Arabidopsis thaliana: one gene and its partner. The protein of the gene in region 1 interacts with the protein of each later gene in a biochemical or structural test. Each region holds a gene or a part of one and is shown in the gene's direction. Other genes may lie near its edges.

Region 1 (4,935 bases):
TTAACGACTAAGAATAAAAAAAAACTTTGCAATATGGTGTTAGAGCCCACAATTTTCTTAAATTAAGACAAACGAGTAACTTCGTTTTCATCGAGATCAACATGGCCTCATATTGATGGTGAAATTTTTGATACATAAAGCTAGAGAGCACAATTTGGAAGAGAATAATTACTAGCTCACAAAAAAGTCTAAGAATCAATAGGATAGGAGATATAACTCAGACAACATAAGAGTGATACCAAGGAAGGAGAAAGACCAATCTATGTTATCCAACAAATGCTTTGTAGATTAGATATGAGCTTATGTTGACATTAATCTGGATTTTCGGATTTGAGATTCAACTATATTTCCATGTACGTATAGACTAAAATTGAGTTTCTATATGATCCATTGATCCTGTAACAAAATCTAGACGTCAAAATGAAAATATTCAAGTGTACATGATTTTGAGTATTGTATAATTAGGTCAACTAATCAATTACTTTTATTTCTACAAATATATTATACTATGTAGAAAATATTTACAATAATGATTAGAATATAAAGATGCTCCAAACCTCAATCGAGTACCAACATAAAATTAATTAAAGGGAAAATGTCAATGTCTTTAATTTTGTAATTGATGTCCAAAGTTCCTAGAAAAAAGATAGATTACGATTTTATGTGCGACACGTTGATGACTACTTTTATGGATTTTTTTGTTCAACCCTCGATTTTGAGTTGACATCATGAAGATTTGATCCATCATTCGTTGGCCCATATCGTTTGAAAAATCAATTCTCAAATCAATCTTAAATTTCGCGTAATTATTTTATAAAAATGGGCAATATATCCATTGTAAGATTTGTCTATTTCACGCGTCATTTTTCTTTCTACTTTGTTAGATGTTTTTGGTTAATGTAGAAAAACGATTAAATTAGAGACACTATCAATTAGAAGAAACAAAAGTCTTTTGATAAAACTCTACTTTGATCATCCACGACTGTGATCGATAACTTCTAAGCAACCTTGAAACCTGATCTTTTGAGCTTTAACTTTAAGTAGGAAAATGTCATAGTATTGGATTTGGTCGTCTTTAGTTTACATTCAATCTGGAATAAATTTGTTTCTCTAGAAAAAATAAAGAGCCAAAGAATCATTATATATATTTATTGTTCTCATGTTTATATACCTATTTTTTCTTAATAGTAGCTCTTTATTATCAAGAGATTTTTAAAAACACCTATATTGTCATAACATTTTCATAAAATTTTTAAAAATAAAATAGAAAATCAAAACATTTACCCTTTCAACAAAAAGAAATAATAATGATATTTTATATAAAAAAATATAATAAATGGGTGGGAAAGAGAAAGCAAAAGCGATCTCCAAGATTTGATACGGTGTGGTGTCTAAAAGAGTGAAACAGCAAATTATGTTTGGAAGATTAAAGAAAAAAAAGAAGAAGAGAGGTAAAGTCCAATTCCCCCTTTCATTAATACAAATTGTTCCCAACAAAATATTTATGGGTCCCTCTTTTAGATTTCCCTGGGTCCCGCGGATCCAAATTTTAATGTGGACGTCAAATCCTTTTTTTTTATTATTATTTGTCCACTTTCCTCTTCTTCTTTTTTTTTTTTTTGCCATTTGAAAACGATATAAATAAAAGTGTTTGGATAACATAAAATTTCTAGAGTCATATGGATGGATATACTACTAGTTAGGCGTATACTAATTTTCTCGTCAACCCACAAAACCCGATCTTAATATTATTCTATGAATTGCATTTGAACCATAAATTTTAAATTAGAAACTGACCAATCACATGGAACAATATAAAATTGTCTTAGTGGTTAGTACTTAATACAAATAAGACCAATCCGAAGAACCGAGCCGGTTAAGTTTAAACACGCTACTATGAATTGTAATGGTGTATGACCAAAATTAGCTTCTTTAATCTTCTGGTTTATTATTCTTAACAGTGAGTGATTCCATTTTCAGTTTTTTTTTTCCAATCACACTAATGAGTAATGACGAGATTTTGACTAAGAAGTTGTATATATCTCACGATGGTATATTTTTATTTTTTGGATTCCTTTGTACGGATTTCTTCTCCTCTATTATTTATTCGATTTTAGGAATATTATTTTCTCTATGATATTCGCATAGGCCCTCCACCGGATTTTCCATAAAATCTCTATTTATTAATACTATTGTTTTCAAAGATAAAAGTTCAATTTTTTCAACCCTAAAAGCACGGCACATAAAAATATATAATTTTCACATTAATAGGAACCAAAGATTTTGTTGGATTTTCCTCGCTGGAGATTTTTCAAAATAAAAATTGAAAAAACCAAAAAGACACACTCATAAAAGATTTATTTTAGAGAACAAAAAAATCAGAAATATAAAAAACTGTCTTAAGGAAGAGAAAGGAACAAAAGAAAACAGATGTGAGCTCTTCTTCTTCGTCTTCTTCTCTCTATTTTATTCTCATCCTCTCCTCACAGTTACTATAAGCTCGTCTATGGCCAGAGACGGTGGTGTTTCTTGTTTACGAAGGTCGGAGATGATGAGCGTCGGTGGTATCGGAGGAATTGAATCTGCGCCGTTGGATTTAGATGAAGTTCATGTCTTAGCCGTTGATGACAGTCTCGTTGATCGTATTGTCATCGAGAGATTGCTTCGTATTACTTCCTGCAAAGGTTCGTATTTTTTCAAAAAAAAAAACATCTTTCACTTTTTTTTATTCCTCGCCGGAATATTTACATCTCCGGTGGTATCGTTTGTCAGTTACGGCGGTAGATAGTGGATGGCGTGCTCTGGAATTTCTAGGGTTAGATAATGAGAAAGCTTCTGCTGAATTCGATGTAAGTTATTGAAATCTGATACAGCTTTTTGTTTTTTTTGAAGATTACGATTCGTGAGTTTGATTTAGTTTAAATGGATATTTTCAGAGATTGAAAGTTGATTTGATCATCACTGATTACTGTATGCCTGGAATGACTGGTTATGAGCTTCTCAAGAAGATTAAGGTCTGCATTTTCCCGCCATTTTCCTGTTTCAGATTACGGTTGTTTTAGTAACAATGTTGAATTTTCCGGTCATCTGAAACAGGAATCGTCCAATTTCAGAGAAGTTCCGGTTGTAATCATGTCGTCGGAGAATGTATTGACCAGAATCGACAGGTGTGATTCTTGTTGATTTCTTCACAGATTTTGGAGTTTTTAGAAACTGTTGATTGATTTGATAAAATTTTGTAAAAAAAAAAAATGATTTTTGAACAGATGCCTTGAGGAAGGTGCTCAAGATTTCTTATTGAAACCGGTGAAACTCGCCGACGTGAAACGTCTGAGAAGTCATTTAACTAAAGACGTTAAACTTTCCAACGGAAACAAACGGAAGCTTCCGGAAGATTCTAGTTCCGTTAACTCTTCGCTTCCTCCACCGTCACCTCCGTTGACTATCTCGCCTGAATCGTCGCCGCCGTTGACTGTTTCGACTGAATCGTCGGATTCGTCTCCGCCGTTATCTCCGGTGGAGATCTTTTCCACCTCGCCACTTTCATCTCCGATAGACGATGAAGATGATGACGTGTTGACGTCGTCGTCGGAGGAATCGCCGATTCGACGGCAGAAGATGAGGAGTCCCGGATTAGATTAGTGGAACTATTCTGGGATGCCGTGTAATATTATCTATCTCCGTTAACTTCGTTTTTACCTCTGACGGTGTTTTTAATTGCACGTTGACTTGACGCCGTCAAATTTTATAGATGTCCCTTTAATCTCTCGCGCCTCCACGTGGGCCTTTTTTCCTTTTCCTTAAAGCTTTTCGAATATCTTTTAATTATTTTAATTTCTGCACAAAGTTACGTTTTTAACTTTTTTAGTCTTTAAACAAAGGGAAAATTGCAATCGAACCTTCGACATTCACCATTTATTATGATAACGAGACTTGAATATGCGTTTTTTTCTTATGTATTGGGTCCTAAATAAGTCAATATCATAGACATATGGGGTTTTATAATCAGAAAGTTAGCTAGATCTGACAATTCAAGAATCAGAGAGCTAAGGTTTTTTTTTCCAGATACAAATCAACTAGTAACATTTGAATCCACTATAGTCATTAAACAGTTCCATAAATATATATCAGTTTTATGACCCAAAATACTCCTATTAATGACTATAAGCCGATGCTCTAATTTTTTTGGCTAAATTATAAATATTTCATAGATAATGAAAACAATTTAGGTTACAAACATAAAATTTGAAACTTATACATATGAATTTATAGTAAAAAAGAATAAAAATATAAATGCATAAAAGGCGGTTAATTAAAACCAAATTTTGGGTCCATTTTTCAACCTTGCAATGAAGCTAAGGGAATAGATGAAACGATGACGTTCAATTCTATCCTTCCCAAAAGAGATGCACAAGCCGATGCTCTAATGCAACTTTGAATATACATATTTAACCCAAGAAAAAAATGCTTATAATATACGACGAAGTAGTGGATGCATCATTATGCATGTGTAGATGTGTAGAGAGTAAGCAAGAAAATAAAAAGAAGAAAGAAGGAAGAGGAAGAAAGAATAAATGCAAAGCTGGAAATGGGCAACTCTTGTTCCCTTCCTTTGGGGCATATTTCTCCATAAATAGTCTCTATAGATCCCTTGTCTCTGGCACCCATTTTGGTGTTTCTTTTTTTATGGTCATGTGTTTTTACCATTTGGATCCAAGTAAGATCTTCACATTAGAAACCACGACCAATATAATTAAGCTTGGGATAGCTTTAACTTTTGTATATATGTTGCTTAACGTGTGTGTTTCGGATCTATGTTTGATTGGTACTAGAGGTTGTTATAGGCGGTTGGTCGTAAACTTATTTATCATCGAGAAGACCGCTGCAACAATCTAAGGACATGACCCAATTGCTATTCGCATTCATTTTCTGATG
Region 2 (4,278 bases), on another chromosome or scaffold:
ATTAACTCTTCAAGTTCAAGATTCACTTGATTGAATAAAAAGTTTCTAAAAAAGAAGTTACTTCAGATTCGAACTCACGAAATCGAAACAACCCAATAAGTCTAAGAGACCAGCAGATATGAAGAGAGAGGTGACGAGGAACAGAGTAGCTTTAGCGATGCTTTTTGCTGGATGCGACGCCGTTTTAAGATAGACATACTTATTCTTGTTCGTTAGAAGATTGTTGTTGTTCCTCTTCATGCTTTTCCGTTGAAGCATGAATCTATATCTATCTCAGCTTTATATATATCTATGTTCACAAACATTCAACAGGAAGAGAAGAAAAACGAGAATCAGGTGAGATTAAACGTTACCGAAGCTAGGAGGAAGCTCAAAGGTTTGATTCTGGTGATCGATTGGTGCTCTTCCACGAGGATTTGAATCTTGTTTCACGTTATCTTCAACACTAACCAGAGTTCACATCTTTTGTGTTAATGACGTTCATATTTTTGTGTGAATCTTGTTTACTTTTTAGTTTTTCGAAGAGTTAAAATGTTTTTAAATATTAAATAGATAATATTTTATTAATTAGTAGGAGACATTTGGTCATCCATATTTGGTATTCCTATGCTCAAATCACATATGGACATTGATATGTGATACACAAATGTTTCCCAAATAATCGTCTCTTATTAACGTTGTATTTATTGGTAAATAACTAAATACAAGACCTTTGATGTTCTTAGAAAAATAATCTGCTTACTACAAAAATAAAACTGCAAGAGTTCAATTAATTAAAGTCCTCTTTGGGAAAGTTTGTTATAAGTGCTTTAAACTGAATAAAAGAATCCGAACTTCGAAGAAAGAAGAAAGAAGATAAACCTTAACCCATTAAATAAAGGTCAGTGACATCATAGTCCATATTCGACCACTCATCATCATACAAGACAGATAATTAATCGTAAATAATTCCATGTTGTAGAGTACTTTTTATTATTATACAAATACATTAATACATCTTTCACAGGCTGTTCGAAACTGTGAGTCTGTGATTAGTGATTAGCCTTAATTAATTTACTTTATTGCTTTGTTAGAAAAAAAATTACACCTTTCTTTAAATTAAAACAAGTTGGGCAGGAAATTTAAAAACCCGTTGGGCCATTAGGATTCACAAAAGCCCAACACCTACAAAAAGAGATGTCTCCATCTCATAGTCCATATACCACATGCTTAAACCAGTTTAAATTGCATATACCACGCGCCACATAACCGGAAAGTTTTGTACACGCGCGAGACACAGACATTATCCTTTTTGTATCTGTCTTCCAGCGTGTCGAGTCAGTGAGGCTCCACGTCACCCTTTGATCCACTTAAATTTTAAAACTAAAATAATTGTTTAAATGAATTCGAGTGATTGATATTTTATTATAGATTTAATACACACCCGACACTCTGTCAATTCTATAGGCATACGAGCTCACTCCAAATTTAGATTCAGTTTTTTAATACGAACTTTTTAGTTAAGCCAAGATTAGCAATAATATAGATCATTTATTTTCTTGATTGTAGTTTGATTGTTGTTTTTCTCATAATAAAAAAATCCCAGCTAAAATCTGATTTTCAATTTTAAACCAATTTATATGGTAAACAAAATTTTAGTTCGGTATAATTGGAAGAATTAAGTTTTGTTGAATATCAGGAAAAAAGAAGGGGAGGACAAATTTTCTACAGAGGTGACGTGGCATCATTGAACCACTTTACTTGTCGGCAGTGAGGTGTGTTTAATCACGTGTAACGCATCCAATGCGTATGAGAGCTTTACAGCCGCACGATCACATGGGTACAAAAATCAACGGCGAAGCAAAACAAGAGTCTCACACTTATTAAACGCGCGTAGTACGCTCCACCGGTATAAGCTAACGGAGGATATAAAAACTCTTTAACTCATTATTGTCCTAAAATCTCAATTTTATCCATTTTCACGGAAAAAACATAAAATCTGTTCTTCTTCTTCGGCTGAGAGACAATGGCGGAGGAGCAAAAGACGAGTAAGGTTGACGTAGAATCTCCGGCTGTTTTAGCTCCGGCGAAGGAACCGACTCCTGCTCCGGTGGAAGTCGCGGATGAGAAAATTCATAATCCACCTCCCGTCGAGTCCAAAGCTCTTGCCGTTGTAGAAAGTAAGCTTTCTATTTACATACGTGTGTGTTTTATATATGTTAATCTTCTACTTAGGAGGATTCATTCATGTTTACGATGAATTATTATAGTATGTAATTCAGAATTCTTACGTTTGGAACTAAGGTTTCAATTTACAATTAACAAATGGATTTTCTTAAGATGCCTAAGGTTTTTGTGAGTTCTTTTGCATATGACTTGGTCTATACTCTATTTGTTTAGGTGAAATCCATCGCTGTTAGAATTTACAACTTCATCATGGCATTTTCAAGAGAATTATGTTTTTCGAGGATGATATTATTAAAATATGATTAATAGTAAAGCAATGTTCCCTGTAATTAGTGTTATCAAAAAGTGTATGGAATCATGACAAATTAGTTGTGGACAGCTATGAATTAAGGAAAGTGGGTTACTTTCTTAATATTCCTACATTTTTTCCTTCCTTTAAAGTTGCTTAACTCTTGGAAAATAACAATTAAGTACTAACTTTCCAGCAGTTTTTATAATCCTTGAACATTCATTTGTTCATCTTTATTTACTATCTGTAATTCCTTCTGTGTGGAGTTTCGTTTTATAAACTACTATTTTGATGACCTTATTAGCCAATTAGAGCAACAAAATTTAACTTAGTTAAAAGTGAGCTTCTTGCAACAAATATCCATGTGTTATACTTATAAGTGTGCTTCTTGCAGAACCCATCGAGGAGCATACACCTAAGAAAGCTTCATCTGGTTCGGCCGATAGAGGTCAGCTGATAACAACACTTTGTTTCTCATGTCCAGTTTCTTAGTTACTTAGTTCAGTAATTTACTTCAAATGTGTGTTGTGTGTGTTTGGTCAGATGTGATACTTGCCGACTTGGAAAAAGAGAAGAAAACGTCATTCATCAAAGCATGGGAAGAGAGTGAGAAGTCAAAGGCTGAGAACAGGTAAACTTTCATCATCTTCTCACCCAAAGATTACTATTGCTTACAGATCTCTGATGATCTTGAAATGGACAGGGCACAAAAGAAGATCTCTGATGTGCATGCTTGGGAAAATAGCAAGAAAGCAGCCGTAGAAGCTCAACTTAGGAAGATCGAGGAAAAATTAGAGAAGAAAAAAGCGCAGTACGGTGAGAAAATGAAGAACAAAGTAGCTGCAATCCACAAGTTAGCAGAAGAGAAGAGAGCAATGGTTGAAGCTAAAAAAGGAGAAGAGCTTCTCAAAGCTGAAGAAATGGGTGCTAAGTATAGAGCCACTGGTGTAGTACCAAAGGCAACGTGTGGATGTTTCTAAGCCTTTATTGAATTTGTATCTTTGTAACAATTCATCTCTGTTTCTTTCTTCTTCTTTTGTTTTTGTGTGATTCAACAACTCTTTTTAGTTTTTGTTATTTGTTTGGTCGTTTGTGTCTTGTTTACATATTGGGTGATTGTGTGTAAAAGTGAAAGATTAATGGAGTATAATTGTATGAAGCATCAAATCTTGTTTTGCCTTTTGTTTCAGTTGTACGACTTCACATCTGATCTGTAACTCTTAAAATGCTAAGACACTTGACTTGACACACACCAACTATAATCCTTAAACAGTTCAGGCACAGGTGGAGATCTAAAAGCAATAAACAAGCGAATGAAGTTAAAATGTCTTCTTCGGTTTGATCTCACTACTCGGAAATTCCTCTCAAGTCTTCAAGATGAGAGAACATCAAAATGAAAAGGTGAAAAGGTTTCTAAGAACATGAAAATTAGAGATGAGAGAAGACAACTTTAAGGTTCATATCATGCAGCAGAAGAAGTCTTCAATTCAAACCAAATCAAGCCGGTACTGCTTTAAAGGTTTAGACACAATCAACCGCTTCCATCGCCATCAACCACCTATACTGTCTCTTCTTGCCTCAGTACAGTACTCTATGTGTTGCCTTCATCTCTAGAACGAGCTAGTGGCTGCCAAAGCTGAATGATTTGCCTCCTCACTACACCTAAATAACCGCAAACCAAAATCAATGGAAATTTGGTCTATGAGCAATGCAGGTTAGTTCTAATGTCAAGATGCCTAGAGAGGGATTTGTCTCACCGGTTAGTCCATCAATGCCTTGCCGGGTAGAGAATGTACACCAGGTAGAAGTTACTGACAGTAGAT

What was found.
Region 2: the proteins of ARR4 (region 1) and AT2G45820 form a complex in vitro, tested with the Arabidopsis thaliana proteins (one study listed by BioGRID).

What each region holds. Positions count from the first base shown.
Region 1 is NC_003070.9:3,441,331-3,446,265, reverse strand, and holds ARR4 (response regulator 4), read left to right. Parts: upstream 1-1,905; 5' UTR 1,906-2,506; coding exon 2,507-2,684; intron 2,685-2,772; coding exon 2,773-2,849; intron 2,850-2,936; coding exon 2,937-3,014; coding exon of another isoform or gene 3,015-3,096; coding exon 3,097-3,167; intron 3,168-3,266; coding exon 3,267-3,642; 3' UTR 3,643-4,278; downstream 4,279-4,935.
Region 2 is NC_003071.7:18,862,304-18,866,581, reverse strand, and holds AT2G45820 (Remorin family protein), read left to right. Parts: upstream 1-1,840; 5' UTR 1,841-2,005; coding exon 2,006-2,159; intron 2,160-2,849; coding exon 2,850-2,903; intron 2,904-2,998; coding exon 2,999-3,086; intron 3,087-3,158; coding exon 3,159-3,435; 3' UTR 3,436-3,629; downstream 3,630-4,278. Other genes in the region: DTA2 (downstream target of AGL15 2), read right to left, coding at 79-258; AT2G45810 (DEA(D/H)-box RNA helicase family protein), read right to left, coding at 4,264-4,278. UniProt on the Arabidopsis thaliana protein: Exhibits a non sequence-specific DNA-binding activity.